Linked DNA regions of Lepisosteus oculatus. The protein of the gene in region 2 interacts with the protein of the main gene of each other region in a pairwise test. Links are inferred from orthologs where the notes say so. Each region holds a gene or a part of one and is shown on either strand. Other genes may lie near its edges.

The links.
Region 1: the proteins of ccdc57 (region 2) and transmembrane protein 100 interact in binary tests that used the Homo sapiens proteins (3 or more experiments, as listed by UniProt). The two-hybrid records come from large-scale screens. The link is inferred for Lepisosteus oculatus from reciprocal best matches to the Homo sapiens genes CCDC57 and TMEM100.
Region 3: the proteins of ccdc57 (region 2) and sfi1 interact in a two-hybrid assay, tested with the Homo sapiens proteins (2 studies listed by BioGRID). The two-hybrid records come from large-scale screens. The link is inferred for Lepisosteus oculatus from reciprocal best matches to the Homo sapiens genes CCDC57 and SFI1.
Region 4: the proteins of ccdc57 (region 2) and fam161a interact in binary tests that used the Homo sapiens proteins (3 or more experiments, as listed by UniProt). The two-hybrid records come from large-scale screens. The link is inferred for Lepisosteus oculatus from reciprocal best matches to the Homo sapiens genes CCDC57 and FAM161A.

The regions. Positions count from the first base shown.
Region 1 is NC_090714.1:3,669,090-3,676,448, forward strand, and holds transmembrane protein 100, read right to left. Parts: upstream 3,007-7,359; 5' UTR 2,864-3,006; coding exon 2,483-2,863; 3' UTR 611-2,482; downstream 1-610. UniProt on the Homo sapiens protein: Plays a role during embryonic arterial endothelium differentiation and vascular morphogenesis through the ACVRL1 receptor-dependent signaling pathway upon stimulation by bone morphogenetic proteins, such as GDF2/BMP9 and BMP10.
Region 2 is NC_090704.1:39,519,291-39,527,004, reverse strand, and holds the start of ccdc57 (coiled-coil domain-containing protein 57), read right to left. Parts: upstream 3,006-7,714; 5' UTR 2,918-3,005; intron 1,223-2,917; 5' UTR 1,175-1,222; coding exon 777-1,174; intron 1-776. UniProt on the Homo sapiens protein: Pleiotropic regulator of centriole duplication, mitosis, and ciliogenesis. Critical interface between centrosome and microtubule-mediated cellular processes. Centriole duplication protein required for recruitment of CEP63, CEP152, and PLK4 to the centrosome.
Region 3 is NC_090717.1:705,202-712,948, forward strand, and holds the start of sfi1 (protein SFI1 homolog), read right to left. Parts: upstream 3,033-7,747; 5' UTR 2,174-3,032; coding exon 1,960-2,173; intron 390-1,959; coding exon 309-389; intron 39-308; coding exon 1-38. Other genes in the region: eif4enif1 (eukaryotic translation initiation factor 4E transporter), read left to right, coding at 4,949-5,121, 5,259-5,376, 5,873-5,946, 6,210-6,340, 6,454-6,725, 7,456-7,654. UniProt on the Homo sapiens protein: Plays a role in the dynamic structure of centrosome-associated contractile fibers via its interaction with CETN2.
Region 4 is NC_090712.1:9,716,386-9,724,052, reverse strand, and holds the start of fam161a (protein FAM161A), read right to left. Parts: upstream 3,123-7,667; 5' UTR 2,796-3,122; coding exon 2,628-2,795; intron 1,005-2,627; coding exon 745-1,004; intron 343-744; coding exon 1-342. Other genes in the region: cct4 (T-complex protein 1 subunit delta), read right to left, coding at 3,931-3,945, 4,674-4,787, 4,987-5,221, 5,592-5,722, 5,808-5,918, 6,074-6,170, 6,302-6,441, 6,545-6,677 and 3 more. UniProt on the Homo sapiens protein: Involved in ciliogenesis.

The DNA.
Region 1 (7,359 bases), on a different chromosome or scaffold from region 2:
AAGAAATTCATTAGGCTTTTTACCTTCCACAGCTTTCCTCAAAGACATGAGGTGCAATATATTCAAATATTCTTTTTTTGCCCAAATAGTCATTTTTGCTATGCTGTGTCGCAAAAACCTGTGTTAACAATACTAAATAGCTGACTACATTCGGTAGCTGAATCTGGTATTGTTTAGAAAATACCCTCCTGTTTTACTGAAGGCAGGGTTAGAAAACACCATAATCAACCATAGCTATGTGGTTGGATTGGGGAATAGGCAGGGAATATGAGGTAATTAATATGTTTTTTTATTTAATAAGCAGGCTTAGAGCCACAGTTACATTATGTGCCTTTAAGACTCATTGTACAGCAGAATTTAAAATCTGTGTGCTGTAGTTCTCAGCAGAGATTTTTGCTTTTGCTTATGCTTTTATAGGCACTATAATTTTTTGTATATTTTTGGCAAATTTGTATCTAAATTTGCTATGCATTTTGAAAAAGGAATGCAACGAGATATTTCAGGAACTTTCACAGCAAATGTAGGAACGCTTATGCAAGTCAGCTGAAAGAAGGATTTAACATTTACAGCTTCGCTCCATGCTCTTAATAAGGACACAAGAAGACTGTGGTTTTAGCAAGGCAGTAAGTATTTTAATGAGGATGGCACAGTGTGTTGAGGCCATACTGGCATCCTTGTACTATTAAACCTCTCTTGCACTCTGACTCTACACTGCACACAGATCAGGCAGAAAGTTTGAACAGCAGGTATGACCTAAGAAGGCAGTGCTAGGAATCTAGCAGTGCTTTCTGCATTTTTAAGAATAGATATTGCACACCTGCACCATTCCTACTTACTTTTTAATATATACACAGTTGAATAAAGCGTTACACCAGCTGTTAAATACTGTACACAGCTTCATTGTAAATTTCTGATGAAAAACCATAGAAAACGACATAACAAAAATACAGCTTAGGGCTTAAGTGAATCTGAAAACTACCCATACTTAGCTAACCAATACAGAACCGACCCAGGGTTAATAGCATTCACAAATACTGTCGAACCAAGGATATCGGGATGTTCAGCCAACAGACCTCGCAGTCGACAAACCTGTCTGTTCGGTTCCTAGCCCCTCGGCTCGCTAATGCCCCTGCTTGGCTGTCGTCGGCTGTTTCCACAGAGAGCTGGCGCGGACTGTCTCCCGGCAGGAAAGGGAAGAAAGGAGTGGGCGACAAAAGGTTAACATCCATTTGAAATCCCCCCTTTTGGGCTCTGAGCCACGAGAAGGGAGGGGGGGAGGGAGCTGGCGGCCTCTCGGAGCAAACAGAAAGCGGGGCTCTTGCTGAGTCTGGTTCCTGCCGCGTGCAGGGGGACCCCCCCTCCGTGGGCCAGTCCAGTGGGGTTGGCAGTCAGCGGGAGCAGCGGGCATCAGGCATCAGGCAGGATGAGAGGCCAGACTGACGTGGTGACAGAAGCACATGCTCCTCTCCCACACACCTTGCACACACAAGGCACTGTGGTCGAATTCAGGCAGATCTTGTTCTTTTAAGGGGGCTGAGGCACTGCTGCCAGGAGGGATCTCAGACTTGTTTCCGTGTGACCCCCCTGGGCTCTGGAGAGCCCCGTGTCCCATCCTGGGCCGGCCATGGAGCTCCCGACAGCGAGACGACGGAAGAGCGCCGAAACCGTCTCTTACGGGTTGCTGCCCCCAGCGCGGTTTCTCTGTGTGAGCGGCAGCACCAGCTCTCACGGGTCGGGACTCCAAAGCGAAAGTTAACCTCCGCGTCAGACGGGGCTTCTTTCCAAACGCTTCCCGAACGCAGCCGGAGCTTATCAGCTAGCTCAGACGGACATTTGTGATCTCGGTGGAGTTGGGAAAGGCATTCAGCCAGGACTGGGAGTTCTGGCGCTGAAGTCCCTCTGCGGGGGGGGAGGGGAAAGTGAAAGAGACTTCTCCTTCAAGCAAAAAAAGCAAGTTGCAGAACATACCAGGTTCGGTGTCCAGTGGCACAATATCTGTAGTGTCACCAGGTGCCCTGCTCTGCCAGTGGATCCTTCTCAGACATGTGAAGTTAGGAAGCCAGCTTTCCCTGCCTGTCAGAACACTCTACTCAGACCGCCTGCGTCCGCGTGCGCCTGTGGGGGGGGAGGGTCTGTCGTCTTCTTTTCCATTGAAGAGAAAAAGAGAAGAGCTTGTGACAAAAGCAGTTGAAAGACCCCCGCGGATCAGGCAGTTTCTTTCTTCCCAGCAGATATCCTGCGGCCAGCCGAATTGTCCGGCTGGGGGCAGCAGGTGGCCGACGTTCCGGAAGGAGCAAAGCGAGGAAAAGCGCCGGAGAAGTGGGAAAGAGGGTGCCAGGAGGGCACCTCCTGTATCACCCAGTCGCCCCGCAGTTCTGTTCAATCCCACAGCCGAGGCGACCAGTGGCTTAACCCCTCACCCACTACAGACACTGCTCGAGTCCAGGTCCAAGGTGGGGGGGCACAGTCTTGTGTCTGCTCTTCACAGGGGGCAGTGCTCTGAGCTGAAGGAGCCCCCCTCCTTCTTTTTCCTCCTCTTCCTCTTGTGCACCTGCCAGCAGGCCGTGGCCATGGCCAGCAGGGCGAGCCCCATCCCCAGCAGCACCACGGACACCACCTTGGCCTGCTGCAGGTTGTTGAAGTAGAAGGTGACGCCCGTGCCCGCCACCCCGATCACCAGCGAGATGACGCCGAAAGGGAAGATGCAGCGGTACCAGGACTTCTCCGCGCCCCCCGTGGCCTGGGCCAGCCGCTCCAGGGTGGAGAGGGGCTCGGGGGGTTTGGGGGTCCCATCTGAGGCGGCATCCTGGGCTTCTGGGGCCTGAGTCTGCCGGCAGGCCAGAGGTCCGGACTTGCAACCCATTACACCAGGAGTCGCTGAGGGAGCCCGCTCATTGTCAAGGAGAGGAAAGGCAGCTGGAAAAGACGGCCACAAAAATGCAGCCAGCAGCACTGAAGCTCACTCTGCGTGCTGCCTCCCGGATCGCCAACAACACATTTTCAACTCCTGCGCTGGGCTGAGGGGAGATATAAGCAGACGAGGGGAGGGGGGGGGGCCGGGAGGGGCGGGCCCCCGCGCTGCCATTGGCTGCTGCCCCGTGTGTGATGTCACAGCTAGTGGAGGGGAGGGAGGCGAGCAGAAGGCTGGGGGGGAGTTAACTGTTCGCTGGCCGAGCTGCTTTAACGCAGCCCTCTCCAGCTCAATGAGCCCTTTCCCGGCCAGGTGAGGCCGAGCTTTTTATGACAGGGGAGCTTTGCTGCTGTTCTTCCCAATAAACGCCCAGTCCAAAGCTCTGCTGCTTTTTAGAAAGACATTTACTGGGAGCGGCAGGGGCCTGCTTGTGTACTTGTGCTCTCTGGTCGGGAATATTGCTGGCCTTCCCCCGAGCTCCATCAGTCTTTCATCTTATCTGTGGGGAAAAGTGCCATCAGTGGCATGTGTGAACCAGACAGGAAAGGAAGGGGGCAAATGCGAATTCCCAGAACGAGCTCCCACAGCCACACACCTACACAGGTCCTTTTTCGATGCCCAGTCTGCCTGCTGCTTTGATGACACACCAACTGTCATAGCAGCCAGCACACGGGGGCAGAGGAGGAAGAGTGGGCCGGGAGGGGATGGTGGGAAGAATTCTACAGCGGGGTTGTCTTCTCGCGGCTCAGATTTCTCAACAGTCCTCTATTGCCGATGCAGTGGTGATGAGCAGTGGGGATTACCATTCTCTTTTTAAGGGGATTGTTCGGGTACACAAACGTGCAGTTTTAGAGATCTGGAAATGGGGGGCAGTTAGCAACAACGCAGAGAGAAAACCGGTGGTGAAAAGGCTTAAAAACAATTTTAAAGCGATTGGCGATCTGTTTCCCTTCGAGAAGCAGAAGTCGCTATCCCTGGAGCATGCTGTAAGTGATTCTGGAAGTGCTATTTCTTCCCTCCTATTTTTTTTCACAACGTGCGGTTTCTGGGGGATCAGTTGTGTGGGCTTGTTAATTCTTCTTCTCTTCTTATATGAGAAAATAATTACAGAGAACAGTGAGAAAACACTGCTCACATGTGGTGGGTGAAAATTGAATTAATCTAAATAAAAGGATCTGAGCTATTGGGTAATAGCACCAGATCTGCTTCATTTGTTCAAAAGCAGGAATGATCGGTAACAGACCCCACATCATCCTGAAGGCTCCCATGTGGTCGCTTACAACGAGCGATTTGTAAGCGTGTGAGTGCCGCTGATCCTGGACAGCTAGAAGTCACCTTGACTCATTGTGCACAGGCACTCATTGCCTCTGATCAACTGCCTCCCGATGTGTGTTTCTCATGATCAGAGGATGTGATCAGACACCTCCTGATGTGGTGTTTCTGATGACCAGAGGATGTGATCAGCTGTCTCCCGATGCGTGTTCCTGATGATCAGAGGATGTGATCAGACGCCTCCTGATGTGGTGTTTCTGATGACCAGAGGATGTGATCAGCTGTCTCCCGATGTTTGATCCTGATGATCAGAGGATGTGATCAGAGGATGTGATCAGATCAGAGGTGTGATCAGCTGTCTCCCGATGTGTGTTTCTGATGATCAGAGGCTGTGATCAGACGCCTCCCGATGTGGTGTTTCTGATAATCAGAGGATGTGATCAGCTGCCTCAAGATGTGGTGTTTCTGATGATCAGAGGATGTGATCAGCTGCCTCAAGATGTGGTGTGTCTGATAACCGGAGGATCTGATCATCTCCCTCCAGTTGTTGTGACTGGGAAAACCAGAGAATCAACTTCAGGTTCATCAGCTGCTGCAGAAACCTACCAAGAGACTTGTACCTGACAGCTCAGGAGGTGGAGGGGAGGAAGTAATGTATACTTTATCCATAACACACTACCGTACATAAACAGATACAAAACAGTTGAGTGGCTATCTTAACTGGACATTAGCACAGTAGTGTAGTAAATGCAACCAGAAGTGTATCCAACAGAAGCAGAATTATTGACTGGAGCACTTTGATTTAAAGTGATGCGACAAACTTGCGATTTTGCCTCTGCAGTGCACAGTTCATAGCAAGGGCCTGTTTCAGAGGTGGGTGAAAATGTAATTACAAATTGCCTCTGTGCCTCCATAACTGTACAAAGTCATACCGGTATACAATTTCATTCCAATAAGATTCTATATCTAAGTTCTCTCATTTCCTATTCCCCAATTTCTGAATATCTATTCCTTGCAAGCACAATACCCCCGCTCCCAGAGAAAGATATCAGTACCCATCAAAATCAATACATATTCATGTTTCGGAGTATTGCCTGGCACTACTATAAAATGAGCAGCCTTGATTATAAGAGAACGTGTATGAGACACCAAGTGGAACTGGCACAAACACACCATGCAGGGCCTGACATGGATGCTGGGATTTGTCCCACAAGCTCTAGAAATCTTGTGGCAAACTGAGCTATTGTACAGTGTTGTGTGTGTGGTGAAGTGTATTCTAATACTGCCAAGTGCTTCACGACAAAGATGGAAAAAACACAGCCCTTTTAGCTTGTAACAGATCTAAAGCGTGATTATGCGATTGTCTGCATGTTTTCATCTTAACAGAGTGAAAGGTGGGTGAGTAAGACTGCCTTCTGAATTAACAAAGGCAATTTTTCCTCACCGGGAGCTCACGGCGTAAAGTCACCTAAGCTTCTTGCGTTTTAAGTGTTTCCATTTTCTCCCTCCCCAGTTCTCAATGTCGTGACTGAAGCTGTCCCAGAATTACAGGTTTAGGAGAGAAACACAATTTAATTAATGGTCACGATGACTCAACACACTCTCCCTTCAGTGAGGAAAGTAAATTGCATCTTTATTGATGGCTGCTGTTTCCTGTGTTTACACTATATTATGTCACCAGCTCGGGAATCTTAAATACCTCATTCATGCCGCAGATGGGATCTGATGCCAAGGAAGGCACATTTTAAGGCACATTCAATTTCAAACAGCACGTATTAAGGGAAGAGCAAATAGGGAAACTGGTGATCAATCAGGTTCCAAAAAGCTGTCCGCTACAATGCACGATTGCACAAGCTGTTACAAACCAGACCTAATTAGTCTGAGGATTTCTTCACTCCTGTTGCAAACCCAAAAAAGGTTAACAGGAGAGGTTTGTTATTTGTTTTGGGATTACTGTGGTTGCAAGTAGCTCAGTTATATATGTGTAACACGGGTCTCGTTCACAGAGACTCCATTACGATGATATTACACTCCCGGGCATTTAAGAACATTAAACTTCCCCACATCAGGAAGCAATATGGCGCAGGAACAAAAAGAAATGCCTGAGGTGGTGGTCTGACCACACATTCTACACCGTAACTATTCTAAATCCTGGCTCATCAAGATATCATTTACTGTGTATGGTATATTCAGTGTGTGGGCCATCACGTCATGGAAAAACCCTGCACAAAAACTCCTGCTGGATTCCTTTAAATGTGCTGTGGGATTTCTTTAGGAATTGCAGAGGAAATCAAAGTTTCCTGCAAGCCAGGTACAAGGACACATACAGGATCCATGTAAAATCGCTGTTAGTTTACAGGAATCCAAATAGATTTTGGTCCCCAAATGGTGCAGGATGAACTTTATTATTCATGATAAAACTGCAAGCCTTTTTGAAGGCTTTTTTTTAAGGCTTCCAAGTCCCACCTGCGTGAACAGTGTGAGTGAAATAAAGTAGTGAAAGTACTGAAATAAAGACCCATAGTGGACATATGAGGTATCACTGCATCCTCGGAGCTGCAATGCCAAGTTTAAATCAGAGCGGTGTTTCCCAACAATAGCCTGAACTTTGCAAACAAGAAGGCAGCCAAGCTGCTGCTGTTGCTTATGCAGAAAACCCTTTTTGCCCCGTCTTTACTGTATTAAGAACGAGGGGCTATTGGAAGCCAGTTTCATCTGAGAAAATCATCCGACCATTTCTGGAAAGGGACAGTAACAGATTCAACAACACAGCTGGGTGTCTTGTTCCATACCCCCACCACCCTTTGTGTAACAAAGTGCCTCCTGTTCTCTGTTTTATTTGAAAACAATGGATTGGAAAATGTTCATTGCGATGACTTGGGCAATGCCCTTAGGATATTCAATACTTGAACCAGGTCTCCTCATAATCTTCTCTGTTCAAGTTTTAGCAATTTCAGTCCCTTTAGCCTGTTAGAACAGGACATTCCTTTAAGCCCAAGAGGGCTCCTCTTTGCACTTATTCAAGAGCGGCAGTGCAGTTCTACTATCTTGACAACCAAAACTGAACGCTGCATTCTCATTAAAATCTTATGAGTGCACTGTATAATTTTAATATAACATTGAACCCCTTAATTTGATATGCTCCACTTGTATCCAGCAATGTTGTTGCTTGCTCA
Region 2 (7,714 bases):
GACTCATCACACTTCTAAATGCGGGATGGCATTTCTTCATCTCTTGGTAATATCTATTTGCTGTACTACCTCGTAATCATGTTTGTTAAGACAGGCTTTATTTCATTTGTTGACTTTAGCTCATAGCCTCCAGAGCTCAGGAACATATTTCTTATAGAAAGCAATCACTCAAATTCTATCGAGTGGTGAACAATTTATCATATCGTGATGCTAAAGAAAGGCTGAAATTATTCCCCAAGTCCAGTCTGGTCCAAGTGTTCCTCACAAATCTCATGTGACTGCTATATTTAGATCATTATTTTGATGGATACACAATTTTTTAAAATGCATTTTCTTTAACTTTTTTTATTTGGCAAATCCATTAAAAAGCCCTGGTCTTTAAGATCCCCACTCCCCAAGAGTTTCTTCTACTGGGTGAACAAAAAAGTTAAAATCAAGCATCTTAATTCTATCATTTGGCGCTACAGGCTTTTCTGATTTTAACATTAATTCACCATAAATGTTTCTGTAGTGTAATTTCATATTAACAGTATGGTTTTTCAAACAGTAATGGAAATGTTTATTCTTCATAAAGAACGCAATTGATTATAAGTCTTAAAGAATGCAAGTGATCAGAGTGGACTAAAACACATTTTAAAGCCAAGAGCTTTAGAAACAGCTTAGGGCCTCTATTCATTTTTGGGCTGTGCACTAACTGTACAGACCTATTCTCAATTAAGTAATCACAAAGCATTAAGGCTTGGAGCTAAGCCTCAAGAGGAAATACAGTGGATCACCTCTGTACTGTCTCCAGCTGGAGGTGCTGTTCAGCAACTCTCTGTTGGTACAGCCTCTGCAGCTCCTCCCGTTTCCTGGCCTCGGCAGAAACGGCCTCCTGCAGCTTGTCGATTTGAATTCGCAGTTCGCTGGTTTCGGCCCGCCTGGCGCTCTCCACAGAGTGCAGGCGGGCGGCCATGGCGTCATAGCGCTCCAGCTCCCGGTCTCTCTCCTCCAGGACCCGCAGGTTGAATTCAAAGTCCTCCTTCAGTCGCTGAAACACTTCCCCCTGCGTGGTCAGCTGAGCTCTGGTGTCCCGCAGTGCTTCCTCCAACTGCTGAACGCGCTTGGCCTGCAGCTCCTTCCACTCCCTTTCCTTAGAGGCCAAGAGCGCATCCAGGTCCCCCTCGTCCAGCATGGCTGCAGTACCTCCCAAAGAAAGATCAATTAAATCCGGAGGACATTCCTAGAAACAGAACACACGATTTCAGGAAATTCCTATTGTGACTCTTCGAATCGAATCTCTGTGGTGGCTACTCTTCAACACCAATATTTTTTGTATTCAAGTATACAATTATATAAACAGACAACACCGAATGGAAGACGAACAGGGTAAACGGTAGAAAAAATAAACTCAGTTTGCAAACTGCACAGGTACTGCAGGCAGGAGCGTAAGTCACATCTGCTCTAACTTTGGCTCCTGTCCAGACACTTCCTGCAACACCACAGCCACTTGGAAATATTAATGGAGAGACAGGTAATGACTCAGAGGTGGGATTTACTGGAAGCTGTCAGTGACAGAATTGAGATGTATTAGTAATTAGTAATTGCATTAGTAATTGTTGTGATGCTGTTGTTGGCATCCTTAAACACAAAGGAAAAGGTAAAAGAAGAAGCTAAAGCTATACTGATTGCAGTATATCTCTTCTGAACTTTTACTGCTTCTATTCTGTTGCGGTGCTGTGGAAAAGACCAATCGGCACTTCTTGAACTGCCCAGGCAGTAACAGAATACAGATTTATGTGATACTTTGACTTCGGTCCACAGTGGCCAGGCAGTTTTTTAAGGTGCCCGACTGGCCCCTGTCCACACAGACAATAAATTCTGTACTGACAGGAAAGGGGATGCGAGTCACTGATCATTTGTGACTACGAACCAACTTCCTCCTCAGCAGACAGGAGGCAGTGAGTTGCGATTTCCCAAAGATAAAGGCCTCTGATCAGAGTGCTGTGAGTCAGCACAGAAGGGCTGTCTCTTCACCTAACATCTACAGTCTGTGTTTTCACTGATAATCCTGTCTGCTGCAGATGAAAGCCCGTGTCACCAGTCTCACCCACTGTTGTTATAATGTGGCAGCTGTGTTCATTAGACACCATGAAGGACCCAGCCTCGAACTGAAAGGATTTTGCTAACCATTCATGCCACTCCAACATGAAATATCACGCACAAGATCACAGTCCAAACAATGCAGAATTCTGTAGGTATAGTGTTATTAAATACTATTCTTTTAATTTTTGAAAAAAATATACTTGGAACAAATGAGCATCAAGTTCTAGATATATAAGGGAGTTTCTACGCATGTGTGGTATTTTGAAGAAAAAAAAACTCACTCTCCAAATGATTATGATGCAAAGAGAAGACGAAGCCGACGAAGTGACCCATTTGAGTGAAATCACAATAAATTGTGAGAATAATGCATTTTACACAGCACTGAAATGTTGAAATGTATTTATAAAGGTCGTTTTCGTGCATGACATTTAAACAATTTGAACACTAGAAGAAAAGGGTGGGTCACACCTCCTCAAACAATACATTTTAAACACTGTAAAAATCAAAATGATATTAAAGTTTTATTTAAAATCTTTGGAACAGAATCAACATGACGCAATAATGACTTTTATTGCACTTGTTTTCCTTCCGACGTAGACCCTTGCAGTAATGTAACTACCACATGTGACTGATGGATTTTTAATACATTAAATTAATACATTAGACAGACAATATTCAAGAGTTAAAATCGGATCATCGTTTTAGGTTCTTTTTTTAAATAGTGTTATTCGTGTTTGTTAAACCGCTGTTTATGTTTACGTCTTTCTAGAAAAGCTGTAAATAAAATGGGTTTTGAAACAATCAAACGAAAGACAATATTTAATAAACTTACCTTATTTAATAAGCAAAACAGAACAAATTTGGCTTTACTTGAAATTTACTTCCTGAATTGGGTTCAAAGAAACCGCCTCCCTATGAGCGTACATGCAGTCCCTATGGAAACCCATCCTCCCCAGAGTAACAGTTAAAGTAGTCCGTGCAGAACACTATAGCAGACATTTTAAAAAGGAGGACGAACAAAAACATTATTTTTATTAAAAATAATAAATTTAAAGAATCATATTTAGACGTGGTTGTAGAGCTCAGCTAGATTATTATCTTAATAATTCGATTTTTAATGTTAAGAAAACTAACTTCTACACTCGATTGAAATGATAGAGATATGGTATTATCAGAAATAATACTATTAAAAATAAGAAGTGATTATTAGTACAATTTATTGAATTCTACATTTACAATAGGGTTCTGATGAAGAAAAGAAATACAGTGCATGTTTTCAAAAATGGCTATACATTCTGGGAAGTATGCAAATCAAATTGCTTTGACTATCCATATCATTTTCCAGAATGTCATAATGATTCCCATTAAATTTTATCCTGTTTGGAACTGAAAAATATATGTGACTATACATCTATGAGGTAATGAGACATTATAAGAAATTCTACATTTTTACAATAAGTCATTATATCCTCCATATTTAAAGCAAGTTTAATAGATTAATATATTTTGAATTGAAATTATTAGAAATAATAATAATAAACTTTATTTTATATAGCACCTTTAATGGTGGCTTTTCAAAGCGCTTTACAGAATGACAACAACAATAAATAAAAAGAATACAGAAGATAAAATACAATTACAATATACAGAGGAGACTGTGGATGGTGGTACCAAGAAAAGCAGAGAGTTGAAGAATGGAACCAGTTCACTAAAGGCACTAAAGGTTCACTAAAGGGGACTCTCTGATATCCTTGGGCAGAGAGTTCCAGAGCTTGGGGGCATAACAGGAGAAAGCCATGTCACCCCTACAATGTAGACAGGCTTGGGGGACAGTAAGGAGACCAGAATTAGAAGAGCGAAGGTTGCGAGGTGGAAAGTAGGGTGATAATAGTTCAGACAGGTACTGAGGTGCCAAGCCATGCAGAGCCTTGTAGGTGACCAGGAGGATTTTAAAGTCCACATGGAATTTGACAGGAAGCCAGTGCAAGGACTCCAGGATAGGAGTAATGTAATCATTTGCACTAGACCTGGTCAGGATTCTGGCTGCTGAATTTTGGACATAATGCAGTTTGTTCAAAGTAGATTTAGATACCCCAGTGAGTAGAGCATTCCAATAGTCAATTCGAGAGAACACAAATGTGTTGAGCAACTTTTCAGCCACAGTTAACGATAGCATAGGGCGTAGTCTAGCGATATTTCTGAGGTGAAAAAAAGATATTTGACAATATGCTGCACATGTGTCAAATGTTAAGCCAGAATCGAATATAACCCCAAGGTTTTTCAATTTAGATTGAAGCTCAAGTACAGAACCATCTACAGATAGGGTTACAGGACTGGCTTTACGAAGTTGATGAGGGGTGCCAATAAGGATGACTTCAGTCTTAATTCAGGTGGGTAGCTGCGTCAGCATGCGTAGGCTGCAAAGGAACAAGTAATAGGTTTATTCCATGCTTAAAAAAAGAAGAAAGAACATATGTAGCATCTTACTACATACTATACATTGAAGGACCTGAGATTCCTCAAGAAGTAAAGTCAGCTCTGACCCTTCTTGTAAATGGCCTCAATGTTCTTAGACCATTCCAGTCTATCGTCGATGTGCACTCCCAGGTACTTGTATGAGTCCACCATCTCCACGCCACTCCCATGTAGACAGGAGTAGGTTTGTCCCTTTTCCTCCTACCTCCTACCACCAGTTCCTTCGTCTTTGTTACATTCAATTGCAGGTGGTTCTCCTCACACGACTCCACAAAGCTGCTGACCAGTCCCCGGTTCTCCTCCCGCCCACCCTTGATCCCACAATTGCAGAGTCATCTGAGAACTTCTGCAGGTGGCATGACTTTGAGTTGTATTTAAAGTCCGAAGTATAGAGGGTGAAGAGGAATGGAGAAAGAACTGTCCCCTGAGGAGCCCCTGTGTTACTTACAACCTGTTCAGACACTTTCTTCCAGAGCACAGGGACTCTCTCCAAGCACAGGCTCAGGTTGAACAGTCGCTGGAGCACTCCACTCAGCTGATCACCACAAGCCCTCAGAACTTTGGGACAGATGTTATCTGGTCCTGTGGCCTTACCCTGGTGCAGCCTCTTCAGCTCCCTCTTCACCTGGTCAGCTGTGATTGTCAGCCTGGCCTGGTGGATGGTGCTCATAGCACTGTCAGTGCTGCAGGTGTTAATGGCGGAGGTGTTGGAGAGTGGCAGCTGTGGGGGATGGGGGCGTTGGGTGTTGTAGCTGTAGGTGGCCATGATTGTGGGGGGATGGAGGAGGTGTTGGGCAGTCGCAGCTGTGAAGGCTTACGGAGCGTGTGGCAATGGGAGGATGGGTGTTTAGCCACAGAGGGCCCTGAATCAAACCTGTTAAAGAACTAGTTCAACTCGTTGGCCATCTCCAGGTTCCCCTCTGTTGCACCCCCAGCCTGTTTGAAGCCAGTGATCTCTCTCATGCTCCTCCATACATCCCTCACACTATTCCTTTGCAGCTTGTCCTCTACCTTCCTCCTGTAGACGTCCTTGCTCTCTCTTAACTTCTGCTTTAGTTCGCTCTGTACACGCTTGACCTCTTCCTTATCCCCCCTTCTAAAGGCTGTCTTCTTGTCATTCAGAAGAGCCTTAAGGTCGCTGGTGATCCAGGGTTTGTTATTGGAAAAGCAGTGTACGTCTTTGGTGGGGAAGTTAATATAGTCAGTGACACAGTCCACCATGCTGTCTATGTCGTCCCCATGTGGTTCGCACAGCACATCCCAGTCGGTGGCCTCCAAAGCACCACGTAGATCCTCCATAGCCTCCTGAGACCATCTCCTCACAGTTCTCATTGTTGCAGGTTGGCGCTGGACAATAGGCTTGTATAGTGGTGTAAGCAAGACAAGGTTGTGATCCGATCTGTCTGAGGTTGTTTTGGTGATTTTCATTGATGTGAGAGAAGTAGGTTGATCTAGCAGACTCTATAGTAACCTTATATTTAGACAAGTAATCTCTCCAAGCCTGATAATGTACATTTAGGCCAGAAAGATGCCACCTACGCTCAAGTTTGCGAGAGGCTGCCTTCAAATTTTGCAGATGGTCGTTGTACCAGGGGGCAGGGCGAGAGAAGGAGATGGTTCGAGTTTTTAAAGGAGCAAAGGTGTCGAGGGTAAATAAAAGAGCACTGTCACGTAACTGTATTCTGTCCTCTAGAGGGTCAGTGGAAGAGAAACAAGATAAGGAGGACAGAACAGAATTTGAAAACCTTGGGTGATCAATTGATCGCCAGTTGTGGAAATTTATAGAGCATGAGGGGGAAGTGTTAGAAACAGGTAATTCCAGGTTGAAAAAAATAGCTAAGCGGTCAGAGAGGCCTAGATCAAGGGGAGAGCAGTGGGAGACAAAAGAGTCATCTGCAATAATTAAATCTAAGGTGTGTCCTTTGTTATGTGTAGGGGTACAAGATCAAGATCAAAACATCCCAATAGATAAAGGAAGTCTTTAGCCAGACTAGAAGACCTTGAATCGATGTGTATATTAAAGTCCCCTAGAATAAGGATCCTTTTAAACTTAAGGCATAAAAATGAGAGTAAGTCAACAAACTCACCTAAGAAGGCTTCACTGGGTTTGGGTGGTCTATAAACTGTGGCAGTAGTAGTAGATTGGGGGATAGAAACATTTAAAACAAGGCACTCAAAAGAAGATGGAGGAGGTATAGTAATAGGACTTAGATTGTAAAAAAAGGTTGTAAATACATGTAACAATGATGCCCCAGAATTAGCAGAATGATTGTTAAAACTATATATAGCCATTTATTTACGTTTTACCGCAATGCACACCAATTATGATAAGAGTTTTAGTCTTATTGTGAGACCAATACATATATTTTTTTTATATTTTGCAGGTCTAAGAATAGTCTGTGCTTCACTGTCCTATCCTGTGGCACATAATTGTTGGTTTATTTATACCATCTATTATTCATAACATCATAAACCAAACTGAAAGCAAAGGTTTACTAGGTAGTAACAGAGTGGTGTGGGGGAGGTTTCTCAAAGACCAGATGTACTCAGTACTCAAACCAGCTCTGAGCTCCCTGAAAAGATGTGAGAATCTTGTGAAAGCTTCTGAAATCCACAAGGAATCCCACTGTGTGAGTACAGGTGTTAATTGGGTATCGATTGCATGTTCAGTTTAGACTTTATAAGCCTCTTTCATTTCACCTTTGCTTGTTAAACCAGGCAATACTGGGCTTATTTTCAAGGCATCTCTGCCTGTATCAGATTACAGTAATATTCACTCCTGGTCCTGAAAGGCAGCGGTCCATTTTTATTGGTTTTATAGTTCTTAATGAGTAAGGACGTGGAAATATTTTCATGTTAGTAAAGACCAATTAAGCAAATAATTGGTTTAAATAATGTCATTAGGGTTCCAGGAAGGAATTAAAACCAGCAGCCATAGTGTTCTTTCACGACCAGGAGTGAATAAATATCAGTGACCTTTCACAATGGTTCCCAACACTTGTCCTGGAGAAACATACTGTAGCGTCTGCTTGTTTTCAACCCTGCTGAGCGTCAACTCTCCAGTGCTAATTGATTGCTTAATTGATCTACTCACTTGTTTAGACTTTTATTTAACTTGTATCTTCTGTCAGTCCTGAATGTCAAAAATACCATG
Region 3 (7,747 bases), on a different chromosome or scaffold from region 2:
GGGGGCTCCTAGACGAAACTGATTCGCGCACAGGACAGCTGAGGCAGGGAGAGGGGAGAGGGGAGAGAGGAGAGAGGAGAGAGGAGAGAGGAGAGAGGAGAGAGGAGAGAGGAGAGAGGAGAGAGGAGAGAGGAGAGAGGAGAGAGGACTCAGTCTGTGTTGCATTTGAAATGGCCTGCTCTGCTCCTGACATCCAGACATCAGTCCAGCTGCAGCCTGGTTCAAGTCTTTCTGATTACACAGACAGCAATATAAGAAACAACTGAAAGGAGAAGAAAAACAATGAACTAACGTTTGAATGAACTAACCTCTCTCTAGGGGCGGAGCGGTGGCTCTGTGTCTAAGGATCTGCGCCTGTGGCTGGAAGGTTGCTGGTTCGTATCCTGCGACTGACAGAGGAATCCTTCTCTTTTCAGCAGGGAATAAACCTGTACTTGAGCCCTTGCAGCCTACACATGCTGACACAGCTCCCTACTTGAACTTCTGAAACCTGCTGCCAAATTTCTCATCCTTTTTTAAGAACACAGCCTACAGATTAGGGGTATTGCTTACATTCTCTGTTCAGTCATGAGCGTGACTCAGGCAGGCTCCTCTGACTGCTGCAGGAGCCCGTCACCTCGTCAGTGAGGCCACGACAGAGCTGATCTCCCCCGCTGTGAGCAACAGGCCTGAAGAAAGGCCACACAAAGGAACCTTATCCAGAGAGAGGCCTCGGTCTCATCGGGGACTTGGAGGCTGGATTGAGTCACCTCAGACAGACTCATCAGGAGGGAGTCAGGGCCTCTTCAGTGAGGACCAGAGGTCAAGGGTCGCTGACCATGACGGTGTCGGAGAGTGTGGCACCGAGGGGCCGGACGACACACTGACTGTGGTGCACAACGGCCCAAAACTTATTCCACGTTGAAAGGAGAAGAGACGCAACGTTTCGGCCGTGGCGACACCTGAAGAAGGCTCCACAGCCGAAACGTTGTGCCTCTTTTTCCCTCCCCCGCGGGGAATAAACCTTTACCTGTTCCCTTGCAGCCTGAGCGTGCTGACACGGCCCCCCGCTCGAACTCAGTCAGCGGAGAGTCTGAGCGTGAGGGTCAGGGCAGAAGAGTCCAGCCACTACAGACCGACAGACGTCAACCCCCCTGACCAGTGATTTCACCTGCGCCAGCTCTGTTCAAGACAATTTCAGTGTGCCTGCTAGAAAACGATGACGTCACTCTCCTCAGATTAGCTTGGTGCGAGATCACACCCCTGTCCAGGAGACCCGGAGTCACGGCTCCCTGTCCTGATGGACGGGGGGCCGAGTGTGGGGGCCGGGCCAGGAGAGTCCAGTCGCTACAGGGCCACACTGCTAGGGCCTGAGGACAGCCTGACCGCAGGGCACCACCCTGATCGGGGCCGGGACACGAGGTGACCGCCAGCCGGACAGCACCTGTCCTCACCCAGCTCGTGAGAGACGAGGAGGGGGCAGCCGGCTGCACTGGGGGCGCCCAGTGGGGCGAGCTGGGCTGACCGGTGTTCGGGCTCCAGGGGACAGCGGGACAGAAACCCGCAGAGCTGCTCCTCTGTCTCTGCCCTGCGGCGGCTGGTGACCACACTCCCTGACCAGTCCAGCTGAATCGCCCTCAACGACACGGTCAGCATCACGAGTGTCCCCGCGTCAGCTCTGCGGCGTCAAACGGAAGGGCTGCACCCAAGCCGTTTCTCTGAAGGAACTTTATGTTTTAGTCAGAAGTGATGAGCTTCTGTTTGGACAGTCCAGTGCCTGGAGAGCAGGTGGCACTGTACTGTGCACCCTCTGAAAGCAGCGCTGTCCCACTCTGGGAGGAATACGGGCTAGAGCAACGGCCAAGCGTCTTGTCACTTCTGCCGGCTCTGCGTGGTGAAGGAAGCCGAGGCCAGAGGGGGTGTGCGAGACGACTGCAGCCGCCTGCAGAGCGCGGGCAGCGGCCGGACCGCGGAGCTCACCTCGCCTGGCGTCTGAGCGAACCGGCCGAACCCCCCTGCCCGCCGGGCTCGGCGACGGACACGAACCTCTCGAATCCACTCGACTGTGTAGCGGTTTCCCCTCCGCGGTTCCGCTGCTCTCAGCGCGTCTGTGTCTCTGAGCGCCTCCTGTCCCGCCGGCCCGCTCGCTGGCGGCGCCGCGCTCCCACAATGCACCGGCTGCCCCGGTTGCCATGGCACCCCGACGCCGAGCAGCTGCGTGTCTGGCTCGCTGGCGCCCCCTAGTGCACGGAGGGGGCGTGCGCGACCGCTCTCCCTTCAATATCGGCAGCCCACCACCCAAACAAGCGCTTTCTTGTTCAGTAAAACGTGCACAGCGCTAGCAAGGCTCTTTTCCTGATGTCCTGTAAACTGGGGTTCGAATTCAGCGCGCAGGGCTTTCGTTCCTGTTGAATTTCTGGACGAGCAGGACAGTACCGGTGGAATGAAATGACTGCATTTTTGCGGCCTTTATTTATTCGTGTTGACCAACTACCTTATTCTTTAAGCATCCCTTATGTGCTGGCTGTAAACAAAACTGACTTCGGTCTTGGGTGCATAGTTCACCCCGGGCAGGGATTTCTCTGCGTCTTGGACACACTACAAACTCACAGGCAGGGGCGATACAAATATACTATATATATATATTACACATCTTTACCGTACAGAGTACGCCTATAAACTAGGTAAATTGTTCAGCATTCAGAATGCCCATTCAGAGTTCTGCTCTCCCTCTGCCATTCGTGGACAGCAATAGTTTTCACTGCAGCCTTTTTCTAATCTGTTACCGGTCAGGGAATATCAGTGGAATTGTTTTGCTTAACATAAACAGGTACGTCAAAAGAATATGCAGTAAACTCTAAGCACTTCAAAGTTTAAAACTGCAGAGTGTATCAGACCGAATCAAATCACTTGACAATGGTATTAAGAGAAGATGCGGTATAAGATTTGTTTTTTTTAAACACTTGATGACGTGAAACACATTCTCCTTCCTTTAACGTCTTGCCCACGCCCCCCACACGTCGCGCGCAGCTCGCCAGTCTCAGCCTCGGGCTCGCGGCGCTCCTGCGCTGTGATTGGCCAGGGAGCAGCTTAGGCGCCCTCGCCGTTCGCCTGCGGGGTCCTACAAATGGCGACCTTAAAAAATCCTCCGTCCCCTCGTTAGCAAAACCAAGCAGCGAAGGAGGTGGAGTATTTTGCAAGTCTGCGCTGGAGAGAGGCTTCAGCTTCAACATCTGAGCGAGATTGTAGCCGACAGTGGTGTCAGGCGGAGGTTGAGCTGTATATAATCCCCGCGAAGACCCCCCCCCCTCGCTGTGCAGTGAGCTGCTGGGAGAGGATCTCGCTGCGGCGGAGAGGCGGACCGGAGAGCGGAGAGAAGCCCCGAGGTAAAGTTGGACACTGAGGCGGGCGGCGGGGCCACCATCGCCGGCTTGGGCTCCGACAGCACAGCCGGGCGGACAATAAGCCTTCCGTCGGTCGCTCTTTGTTGCGGGGAGGAGATATCACGAGTCGGTGGTGGGGTGGCGGGTTTTTCTTCGCCTATTCCAATCTTTTAAAAGCTTTGTTTTCGTGCCGGCGTAGAGAGCGCGGCTCTTAGGCTGCTTTCTGCTTTTGTGGCTGAGTCGCGTCTGCCGGTCGCGTCTGCATCCAGTCCCGTGAAAAAGCCGCTCTCTTCTCGGAGTAAGACCGCGGCAAGGGGAGCGACCGCACTCCGGTCCCGGGTAAGACGGGTCGAACTCGTTTTGTCATGAGCTGACCGCTTCTCGGCGGCGTCCGGCGTCGAGAAACTGTAGCAGACTAAAGCCGAACTCCGGGTCCTGCTGCTCCGGTCGGGTTCGGAGCCCAAAGCGACACGCAGCTCTGGCGACAAAAGGTGCAACGTTTGAGTATTGAAGCCGCAGGAGGACGTCTGCTGTCTAGGGCAGTTCACCGATTTTCTCTCAAACTGCTGCAGTCGCCGGAGGTAACGGGAGAAAAGTTTCAGAGTTGAGACCAGGCCCGGGCACCCCGTTTGCTTTTTTAGCCGGAGCTCTCGGCATTATTGAGCCAAGTTCGTCTTTCGGACAGTCTTGCCCGGCCGACACGACGGGCAGCTTTCATTACTTTGGCCGGGCTTTGGCGAGACCGCCGGGCTGGTGGAGCCGGCAGCCAGCCGGAGGAGCCGGGTTAAGTGTTTAAAATCCCCCGTCGCAGCGCCGAAAGCACCTGCGGCTGGAAGTTGATCTGTTATGACGAGAATTCAACGATCCAAGAGACTGACCGTGAATTTACAAAAAAAAAAACAACAAAATCCAGGTGTGGAGGTTTCAAGCCGCCGTCCACACCTGTGAGCTGCCCGAAGCGGGCCGGGTCTCGGTGCGGGCGGCCGGTGACGCGCAGCGGACGTGCCCGCCTCCTCCCTCGGTACCAGCGCAGGGCGGCTGATCGCACTGGTAGCCGGACCCCCGGCATCAGACTGCTGGGCACTGAGGGGTCTCGTCTAGTTCCCGTCTAAAACCCGCCAAGTGGGATTTAAAAACAGATTCCGGTCGGGTTCTTAAAGTTTGCTTGATGTGATGGCTTGGGACCGCTTTGCTGTGAGCTCTACAGGTTGTCTTCCTGGGGGCTGGACAAACTGCTGCACTGTGAAGGCGTGATCCGCTACTTGACAAAGCGGTTTTGAACGGATTTAAGACGGTTCCTGGCGCCGTGCGCTTGCTCTCTGCTCGAGGGAGAGTAACCGACGAGTGTTCTGGATTGAGGTCCCATTTAAATCCAGCAAGGTTCCGTCGACCCATCCGCTTCCTAACGGCTTCATGAAGTGCAGGGTCACGGGGGCGCCGGAGTCTATCCCGGCAAGCAGCGAGGCAGGGTACACGCCGGGCGGCACGCGCAGACCGCAGCAGGGCCGGTTTCTCCCAGGAGACGCGTACTGGCAGGGAGACCGGAGCACCCGGAGGAGACCCATACGAATGCAGGGAGGGGGGGCATGCAGACTCCACACAGACAGCACCCCAGGTCTGGAGTTGTACTCGGCGCCCCCGTGCTGTGCCACAGTGCTGCCCGGCAGTGTGTTTGCAGCCCTGGAGCGTGGGTGTGTGCGCGCTCGGGGCCGCCGAAGGAGGTGGATATAGAAATGTCCTGCGTCAGGCGGAGGACATGGTGAGCGATGAGCAGAACGTTCCCCCCCGCCCCCCGGACGTGAGCGTATGCGCGCTGGGCCCGGCTGACCCGGGATTGTTTATCTGTCCTGTGAAAGTGACATCACAAAGCTGAGGGCTGTTTTCTGACTCGGGCAGGTGCTTGGAACTGAGAGTCATGGAAAAGGCAGCAAACCCCGAGGCTCCGGAGGGCGGCGGCCCGCTGGCCGCCATTCCCAGGGGTTCGGAGAGGACGTCGCCTTACAGATACACTAAGGTAGGTTGGCGACGCCAGGAGCTGGCCGGGCAGGGGCCGGCGTCGGGCGTCGCTTCCTCGCAGCTTCTCAAAACGTTCTCTCGTCTGGCTCTCCTTGGGGCGGCCGCCTGCCTCGGGCGGGGTTCGAAAGCTGCCCCCGAGCTCGACGAGATGGCTGTTCGGGGAAGAAACTGGCCCTCTGAGCTCGGGCTTGTGGGCCCGCTGTACACTGAGCGGGTGTTGCTCCAGTAAACGGGCCCGGGCTGCAGGTCCGTGTCATTCATTTAGTCAAAAACCATCGCGCCCTCAATTCATTCTTTACTTCAACCTGAGCTCAAGCATTGACTTGTGCTTAGGTGTTGCGGCTTATTCAAAAGGGGTCTTCAAGTTGGAGTTGTTTTGATCAGATCTCATGTCCCCAAGGGTGCCGTCACAAGCCGGACTAGTACAGGAACCTGGGTAAAAGTGTATTTGTGTTAAATCAGAATTGTAAGGCGCTCTGGCTCTGCTGTCGCAGGAGGAGCTCTTGGAGATGAAGGAGTATCCCTGCTCCAACGAGAGACCTGAATGCCTCCTGGAGAAGTACGACAGGTACTGCCCCTCGCCGTCCGTCCGTCCTCAGCTGCCTGCGGGCTGGTCTGGGTAGTCTAACTGTTAGACCCGTGGTTTACTGGGGGCAGAAACAGGAGCCTGCCTCCCAGCACTAGATCTGTGACTTGCAGCGACGGTTCTGGGTCTGTTCTCAGTCGACTTGTTCCGCCCCGGTGAGTGGTTACATTAAGAGCTGAGGGATGCGCACCTCTGGGCTGGCCAAAACGAGCTCGAAACCCCCCCCTCTTTCCTTCCCGTGCTAGCGATGGCGTGTGGGACCCCGAAAAGTGGCATGCATCCCTGTACCCCAGCTCGGAGCGCAGCTCGCCGGTTGAGGGGTACAGGAAGGATTACCCCGGAGACGACCGGGTCCCCCTGAAGCGCAGGATGGCAGGTGAGGGAGGAGCCCCGAGGGTGGGTGGGTGTGTGTATGTGTGTGTGAGAGATGGACGGTTTCCTCTTCTCCCCCCCCGAGTCGTCTCTCCTCACCCCCCCCGTGTGCTGCAGATCCCCGGGACAGGCTGAAGGAGGAGGACCTGGATGTGGTGCTCAGCCCGCAGAGGCGCAGCTTCGGCGGGGGCTGCCAGGGCACGGCGGCGCTGGGGCCCCAGGCGCGGCGGGCCGTCTCCCCCCTGGAGAACAAGGAGAACGAGAGCCTGCGGCTGGGGGCGGCGCGGCGCATCGGCAGCGGCCGCATCATGGCGGCGCGCGGCTTCGAGCGGGAGGCGCGCGGCGAGAAGGAGGCCCGGGAGAGGGACTTCAAGGACAAGAGATTCAGGGTGAGCGCAGCGCCCCCTCTGCTCCGGCGGGCCGAGTCTCGTTGTGACTAGGCGAACTGGGAACGGGGTGGCACTGCGGCCTCACGGGGCTGGGCCCTGGCATCCTTCCTGGGGGGTGTGCATGCTCTCCTCGTGTTTGTAGGGGTGTACTCCCACAGTCCAAAAACATACCGTGGTTTAAATAGCCTCGGGGACCGCCCGCCCCGGTGCGAGTCCGCGTGTGCCCCGTGATGGACTGGCGTCCCTCCCACGGTGTGCCCTGCCTTGTGTCGTCGCTTGCCGGGACAGGCTCCGGCTCTGCCGCGACCCGGAATTGGAAGAAGTGGGTAGGAGATGGATGGGTGGAAGCTGGAAACATGTTCCTCGAGTGACACTGCTGCCCCCTGGGAGTCTGGTCTGAGGCTCAGGCACGCTGTGCTCTCCCGTCACTCAGTGGTGTGCTGGTGTGAGTGGGCCGTGCAGTCCAGCAGCGGTACAGCAGCTGAGCTCCCCTCCCCCAGTGTGACCACAGTTCTCCCAGCTGCAGTGACGTGCGTCTTGACGTGGCACAGTCTTGCCCAGATCTTGAGAGACCCCCCCCAGGCTGTACTGTAAGGAGGCTCATCCAGACGGCGAGAGACCACCACCGCGATCTTCTCCCCTTCCTGAGCTTATCCCAGTGGGGGAGAGGACAGAGGTACGGTCGCAGAGAGTCTCACGCTCCGGCGGTGTCCTGTCTCTGCCTGCCCAGAGGGATTTCGGTGACAAGCGGGTCTTCAGCGAGAGGAGACGAAACGACTCGTACACCGAGGAGGAGCCCGAGTGGTTTTCGGCGGGCCCCACGAGCCAGTCCGAGACCATCGAGCTCATCGGGTTCGACGACAAGGTACTGGAGGAGGAGAAGAGGCGGAGCAAGCGCTCCAGGAAGCGCTCGGAGTCCGTCAAGGAAGGCAAGTACCAGGGCGGGGCGGGGGGCTTGTTCTGAAACAGCTCAAGACAGCGCAACCCCCCCACCACCTTAATATGTCAACTACTTTCTGTGC
Region 4 (7,667 bases), on a different chromosome or scaffold from region 2:
TTTTTTTTCTCGGCTTCTCTGACAGTCATGTTGAATGGCTTGGGGACAGTGATCCTATGACACCATTCTTTGGGTTTCTTTTGAGTCTGCTGTTTTTTCAGAGAAGAACTCGACTGCATTCTCTTACAGGACACATAATCATCCACTGAAAAATCATCCCACATGTTTTTAATGTGCTCCTTGGGAGATGACAGCAGACCCTTTTCAACATCCCCTGCCTCATTGTATGCTGCGTCTTCATCTGATGTATCTGACAAACTTGAACAAACAGTATGATTCAGGTCATTCGCAGAAAAGGCTTTTCGAAATGCTTTTGTTGGCTTTGGACTATTGTTCTGCAATCTAGGAAAAAGAACAAGTACAAGTCAGAGCTTTAAATCTGAGGTAAAGTAAGGGTTTGAGATACTGCAACTCAATATATTACATATTTAGTAGTCTGGAATATAGACACACATAGGTCTCACTGGTTAAGCTGCAAATTTAAACTTTAATAATGTGATGAAAATGTTAATACATTTGTTACCATAAGTTACTGCCTGGCAAGACAAAATCTGAATAACTACAATACTTCGTATTATGTAGATGCATCTTTCTAAAGAATATATTGACCACAAACTCTGTTACGAAATTCGCTTTGTTCTCAGCAGTGATGATGTGAGTTGATGAGAAATCTAAGATCCAATGTGGCTTCTAGTCTCACTTTAGGGGGTGTTTAGGTTACTGGGGACACCAAGAAAGACAAACCTGCAGAACAACTCAGGGTTTGCACACTCATTGTCAGGAGCTGCCACTCCTTTGAGTTCCATCTTATTGCGATACATCCTTTCCAGTTCTGCCATGGTCTGCAGATGGGCTTTCTTCAGTTCCTCCAGTTTTCTGTAGTATTCCTCATTGGAGAAGTAAAATTCCTGGAGATCCACACAGTCTCCAGCCATTCTGTAGTCCTTAATCAGCACAGGACTGTCCTTCCTGCCCTCACACTCTAAGCCCGACTCATATGCATTCTGCAACACAAAATAAAGCAAGAATAATTCAATTAAAATGGCATGATGGCATGCTGACAAGGTCGAGGTTTCCAAGAACAATTTTTGAACCAGTTTTAATTGTATTAACATTAATCAAATAAGAGCAAAGCCTAAAGCAACAGATGAAATTATGCTTCAGCTCAACTACACTGCAGGCAGGATATTAAGCGCTGTGATGAAGATTTAAATATGTATGAAATACACTTTATTTTGCATTTATTTAACCATCATACTGGAGGCTCCACTGAAAATACAAAATCTTCATCACTGATAAACCATTATATTTTACATAATGAACTTACAAACACAGGTTTAAGTTTAACTTTGTTGTTTTACAATGTAACCTTTAAACAGCAGGTCTCCTTTCATATTTAATTCGTCATTCACAAACAATATGGTGAACATCAGGTTTGAACTAGAAGACACATACTTTAACCTAAGGAAATATTATAAAAGAGCAAACCACTCTCTGAATACCATATCCTCTCAGCATTAGAGCACAAAGCTCATTAGTTGAAGTGACCATATGGCACTCAGCAGTGCGAAGATGTTTGTAGCAACAGTGATAAAAGGTACATGTGTATTCTTAACACAAGCTCATCTTCTATAATGACCAAGATACTGAACAGCCAAGACAGAAAGTAAAGAAAGATACTAAATAGGTTACAGGTATCAATATGCCAAAAATATATATTTTTTTATTCCATTACACCGATGCTCACAACTCAAGACACATTGGTTCCTTCGGGTGTTCAGAGGAATGTCTGAGAAAGTCACAAGCATTCATCTTCTAACCCATTCTTCCAATTTAGGGTCGCAAGGGACTACCCAAGTATGCAATATACCACAAGTGATTTATCTGCACAAATTAAAATCCCCCTAAGGGAAAATGCTATGAAATTTTAACAATACCTCGCCATAAACAGTTACATATTAATATTTCTAATGACAAATATAATCATCCACTAAAACATTTGGTCCATTTAAATACTGTATAAATATTTGCCTCACCTCAGCGTGCAGACAAAGGGTGAAAAATGAGTATCCCACTGTACCTGTCCGCTGTTCGAGTGGCTCTGTACAATACAGATTAAAGAGCCACACTTTTCTCCCCTGTAATCCATTAAACGTTAGTGTCTCATCTGCATCCTAGAATAGTTACAAATCGCAGAAGCTTTCTTTCCAGAAAGGGTGTTTAACTCCAATCCTCTTAAATAATTAATAGTCTAGCTTTTGGTGGAATTCTAACAACGCGAAAAGAAAAACCTTCGTTTTAAGTTTATTATTTCGGGCCCTTTGTCTTCTATACTTTAGGAAACGTTTTCTTAAACAGTTCCTCTGTAATGGTTACAACGAAGGTGTGGAAATGAGGAATAAAATATTTGAGGCTCAAGGTAATTGCAAGACTGTCTGGAGCCTACCAGTCTACCATTCACTACCAGTCTTAGCTTGACTGGCGACGGTAAAGTGCCGATGCCCAAACCAGAAAGAAATATAAAAATAATCTAGAGATACTCATTAAACATTTTCAGCGCTACAGTGAAACGGTCACAGGAACAGGATTTCTCTTGCCAATTCTATGTTTAATTTCGGTACTCTTACCTCTTCCTCATAATCTCGGGTACGGGTCTGCTCCGCCGGTAAGGACCTCTCGCCCCGTGTAGCAGCGCTCTCCCTCTCAAACAGAGCAACTGGTGCTTTGGTAAGAGGGTTCACGGGGGTTTTGAGACACGAAGTTACCAGGACGTTGACACGGTGCGAGTTCTCCATTGTCTTGCACTTGACTCGCTTTCGGTTTTCAGAAATTCAGGCTACTTCCCAGTGCTTTGACGTCCTACACGCCCGTAACTCCTAATCCTACTGTTTGATGCTAACCGCGTTGCAACCCTGGTTACAGTTAACTCTACGGGGCAGCCGCTGGGCCAAAACTCCTCTAATCGCTTAAGGTACGGCGTTTCCACCAGTCCCGTGTACAGCTCAGCATTTTCACATTTGGCAACCTTGAATTAACTCCAACTATAATAATAAAGCACACTCTTTAATTGGACCCACTACACGAAATCATGTTTCTGTTCTGAACAGAGAATGCGGTGTAACCAGTTAGTTAAGCGCTCTATATAAAGTGTAATGCCCTTACACGTATTGCAGCTAAAATGGTTTGGAGCATGGAAAGTCCTTCAGATTCATTCTATTTGACAAAGCTGTTCAATAAGATTTAAAGATTTAAAAAAGTCTAAGTGACAGCGCAAGTGTTAATCCATAAGCCTGGAGGAGGTGCTGCTCTGGAAATTTAAGTTAATGACCTTTCTACAAAAACAGCTAATATTGTAGACTATACCTACTCATGCATTGTCTCCACTGCAGATATTCCAATAACTTTTTTCCCCAGTGGTCTTTTACAATTCAATTTTTGGAAAAACATCTCAAGGTGTTTTTCAAACAAACAGATGAGCTGTTTTAATTGCTCTTGATCCCCTGACAGTCCAAGAGGCAATTTGAGAAATGGCAATCTGTAAAAAGCTTACTTTTACCAATGAATCTAAGTTTCTTTTATGTGTGGACATGGATGAAACATTTAAACCAATGTGTTATGCTCATGTAAAGCTTAAATGAAGAATAATGCAAGATCAAACATGTTTTAATACAACGCAAATTAAGACAAAGGTCCACCATTTTAAAATCAAACGGATACCACACTGGTAATCAAAAGCTGCAACCAAATAATGTTTTTGCTAAAAAAAGGCAAACATTTTGATCTCAAAAGATTTATTAAATTAGTTAACAAGTACAGATTAACAGACTACATATGTGACATTGGTCTGCAGGCTCACTACATTAAATCAAGGCCTTGTCTGTACGAAGGGCCAGGACGTTTTGACCTTTCTTGAATCCACAGAAGAGGACTTCACCGAGTGTTCAGCTGAAAAAGAATATTTCAGTTTGAGATTTTACTTATAACATAGTGTTTAAATACTCTGCACAATCTAATACAGATCTTAAAAAAACCTTTAACTGATTTAAGTTTATACTATAATCTTAAAGTCATCAACAATATTTTACTGCACTTTATCCAAGTTAACTACAAGCAATGTCTTGAAGTAACTATTTTAAGAAATCTCAACAACTTCACAGTAAAATTAAATATCAATCACATTACAGAGTATTTCCATTACAGAAGTCATCTGCTTAAATATTCAATATGGACAAAACGAAACTGGCTATTTGTCAGAAACCTGTGATCAGTGCACCATAAACAAAACACACAAATAAATATTTAACACAGTTTAAATTATAAAACAAAAAGTTTATAACTTACTGAAAAAGTGTTTAGTAGATGTATCCATCTCTTTAGTAAATATCTGATTTTTTTAACTATAGGTCTTAGCATGACTGAAAGCTAATATACAGCTTCTAGTTACATTATAAAGAATCACTGCAGAAGTGCTGTACTGATGGCGATTCAGGAGTTAGAAAGGCATCAATCAGCAAGTTAGGATGTGGCATCCAGTTTGCCTGTTAAAATGAATTTTCCTTCTGAATCACAAGTGCATCAAATTATCTTTTCTTATTTAGAGTCTTCATCCCACATTTATCCCCCAACAAGCTTTCAGCACTGGTTAGAGCAGCTCTCGTAATAAGGACCCTTACCACGTCGTCAATCTTGAGAATACTGCGCACAGTTTCAGTGGCCAGAGTCAGGGCGCTGATTGACACCAACAATGGCTGCACCACCAGCTCCTCCAAGATGTTGGAAATGCCACCCTGTGGAAAAAACAGAGGACTCCCTCAGTCAGACCTGCTAAAACTTTTGACGTGCAAAAATAAACTCCTTCAGTACATTGTAAACAACATTTAGAACCAAAATCTTTTGCGTTATTTTTGTGGCACCTTTGCATGATGAAAAGTTGCAGCAAAACCCTTATTCTTCCCGGTCCCCTTACACTTGAAGAAGGAAGCTTACCTTTCGGACATTGATGCCGGCTGTCCTCTCTCCCTGCGCATGCCGATTCCTCAGCTCTGTGACAGTGGAGATAGGGTTGAGCCCGGCATTCTCTGCCAGCGTGGAGGGAATGACCTCCAGAGCATCGCCAAAAGCACGGACGCAGTAGGCCTCCATGCCACTCAGCGTGCGGGCATATTCAGCCAGGCGCAGAGCCAGCTCAATCTCTGGAGCGCCTCCCCCAGCGATCAAGGCCCTGTGAAGGGATGGCAGGGTAAGGTTAGGGTCCAACATTCAGGAGCTCATGCTCAAGGTAAAACAATTCATTAATAATTTTAAAAACTGCTTATATGATGTAGTAAATCTAGAAGCAGTTTATTCCATACAAAGCCACATACCAGTAATTTAGCTGTTAGTCGATACATTTTTCCCCTTTCATTTTTTTTTATATGACCTTTATTAAACAACACTGCACTGGGTATTTTTTTTAAAAAGTCACTTATTTTAAATGAAGTTCTTCACAACTTCGCCAGTCAATAAGGCGTGTGACACAAACCCTTTTTCAATTAGGGCACTCCAACCTTACTTTGGTGTAGAAAGCACCCACACTGAAATTGTAGCAATACCTTTTCTTCACTAGGCAGCGGATCACACAGAGGGCATCGTGGATGGAGCGCTCCGCTTCCTCAATCACAAGCTTGTTGGATCCACGCACCACTATGGTGACAGTTTTTCCGGGGCTTGCGCAGCCAGTAATCTGTATAACAAATCATGTTAAGTCTCTTTGCTTCATCTAAAAAGCACATTTCTTCAAAAACTATGCTGACATTCAAATGACTTACTTTGACAAGCTTGCCAGACCCATCCAAGCTCACTTCTTCAGCCAGCTCTGCAGAGCCCAGCATATCTGCTGTGAATTGGTCTATGTGGGCCACAGGTTTATTTCCAATAGTCTGCAATCACAAATACAAAATATATCTATGGTGGTAAAGAATTCCTTACAAGAAAACAGTATAACTGTAGCAGACAAAAGTTAGATCATAATTAACCATTTTCAGTTCAGAAATGCTAACAAGATGTTGACATAAAATATAATTTATCTCTTTACCTTGCAGATGAATTCAATATCTTCTCTTTCGATATCTTTAACAACCATTATCTTCATCTTGTTTAGGAAATGAAGAGCCAAGTCACTCAGTGCATCCCTGGAATTATATTTTAAATGATCATTAATAAACTTAATTCACAATACTTACAAGAAAAAAACAGAACAAAGCTGCAGTATAACAAGAATAATACAAAATGGATTTATATTGCAAATGGATATGAACTTTACCTTAAAATAGATTTCTGAATGAGCAACACATTGCATCCAGCCTTTTTGATTTGCTTCACCAAGTTGAGGATATAAGCTCTCTCCTCACGTAGCACTCTGTCCATTTGGGCATAGTCAGACACAACAATCTGATTATCCATCTAGCAGACAAAAACAGGTCAATGTCAGTACACCATCTGACTTCACAACTACATAGTCCTTCCACAACGCCAATTACTGTAGAAGTGAAAATTTTAAACTTACATCCGTCTTTGGAGGAGATAAGCAGAACTGAATAAGACCAATCTTTGCCTTTTCAACCCGAGAGACACCAGAGTTTGCTACTTTCTGCGTAAGCACAAGTCCATCAACCAACTCACAGTCATCAATGGTTCCCCTGTGAATAAAAACTTTGTTAATTTCCATTCTGACAATTTCTTGTTACACCCCTAGATGTATTTCCCCATCAAAAGCACAGCTACTGCACCTTGTCAACTCACCCCAATTTCTTCACAATTTTAATGTCCTGGAGGTCAACCCCCGTGGCCGTAGATGGATCAATCACCTTCATCACAGCATCAACACTCATTGGTGCCAGCAGACTGGAGTACTGGGACACAACCTGGACAGGGATAAAACAAAAAAAGATATTCAACTGAAATGACCAGTCATTTAAACTATAAAAATAGTTACATTTCATCTTGCACTTCAAAAGGGCATTCCTAGTAGAAACTATTATGTGATGACTAAACATTTTATAATGCCTTTATCATAGAAGATTTTGAAATGATTTACCTTGGAGCACAGTGACGTAGTGGCACTGTTCAACAAAGACTCTCTGTCACTCAGTTCCACAGGCTGGCTCATGGCTGTCAGAACCTCAACACCCTTCTCCACAGCTTTCTGGAAAGATTCCGAAATAATGGTAGGATGGATTCCTACAACAAAATCACATTAATCAACATTAATAAAAATGGACAACACTTACCATACACCTGTGGCAATGCAAACTAGCGATTAGAGCTCTGAACTGCGGATCAGAGAGCTGTGGAATCAAATTCCGGGTGGGATGTTATTGTACTCTGATGCAAGCCTAATCACATTATTTACTCCAGTAAATGCCTTAATGTACAAATGGGTATTCTCCTGGTTGTGGACTTATTCTAGTTGACTTATTCTGGTTAGAAAACTAAAAAAATATAACTGACTCCAAACAAACAAGATGGAAATTCTTTACCTTTCTGAAGCAGTTTAGCACAAGCATCCAAAAGAGCACCTGCAATCACCACAACAGAAGTTGTCCCATCACCAGCTTCAATGTCCTGAGCTTTGGAGAGCTCCACCAGCTGGAGTAAGCAAAGGAGTTTAGGTTAACTGCTGGCCATGA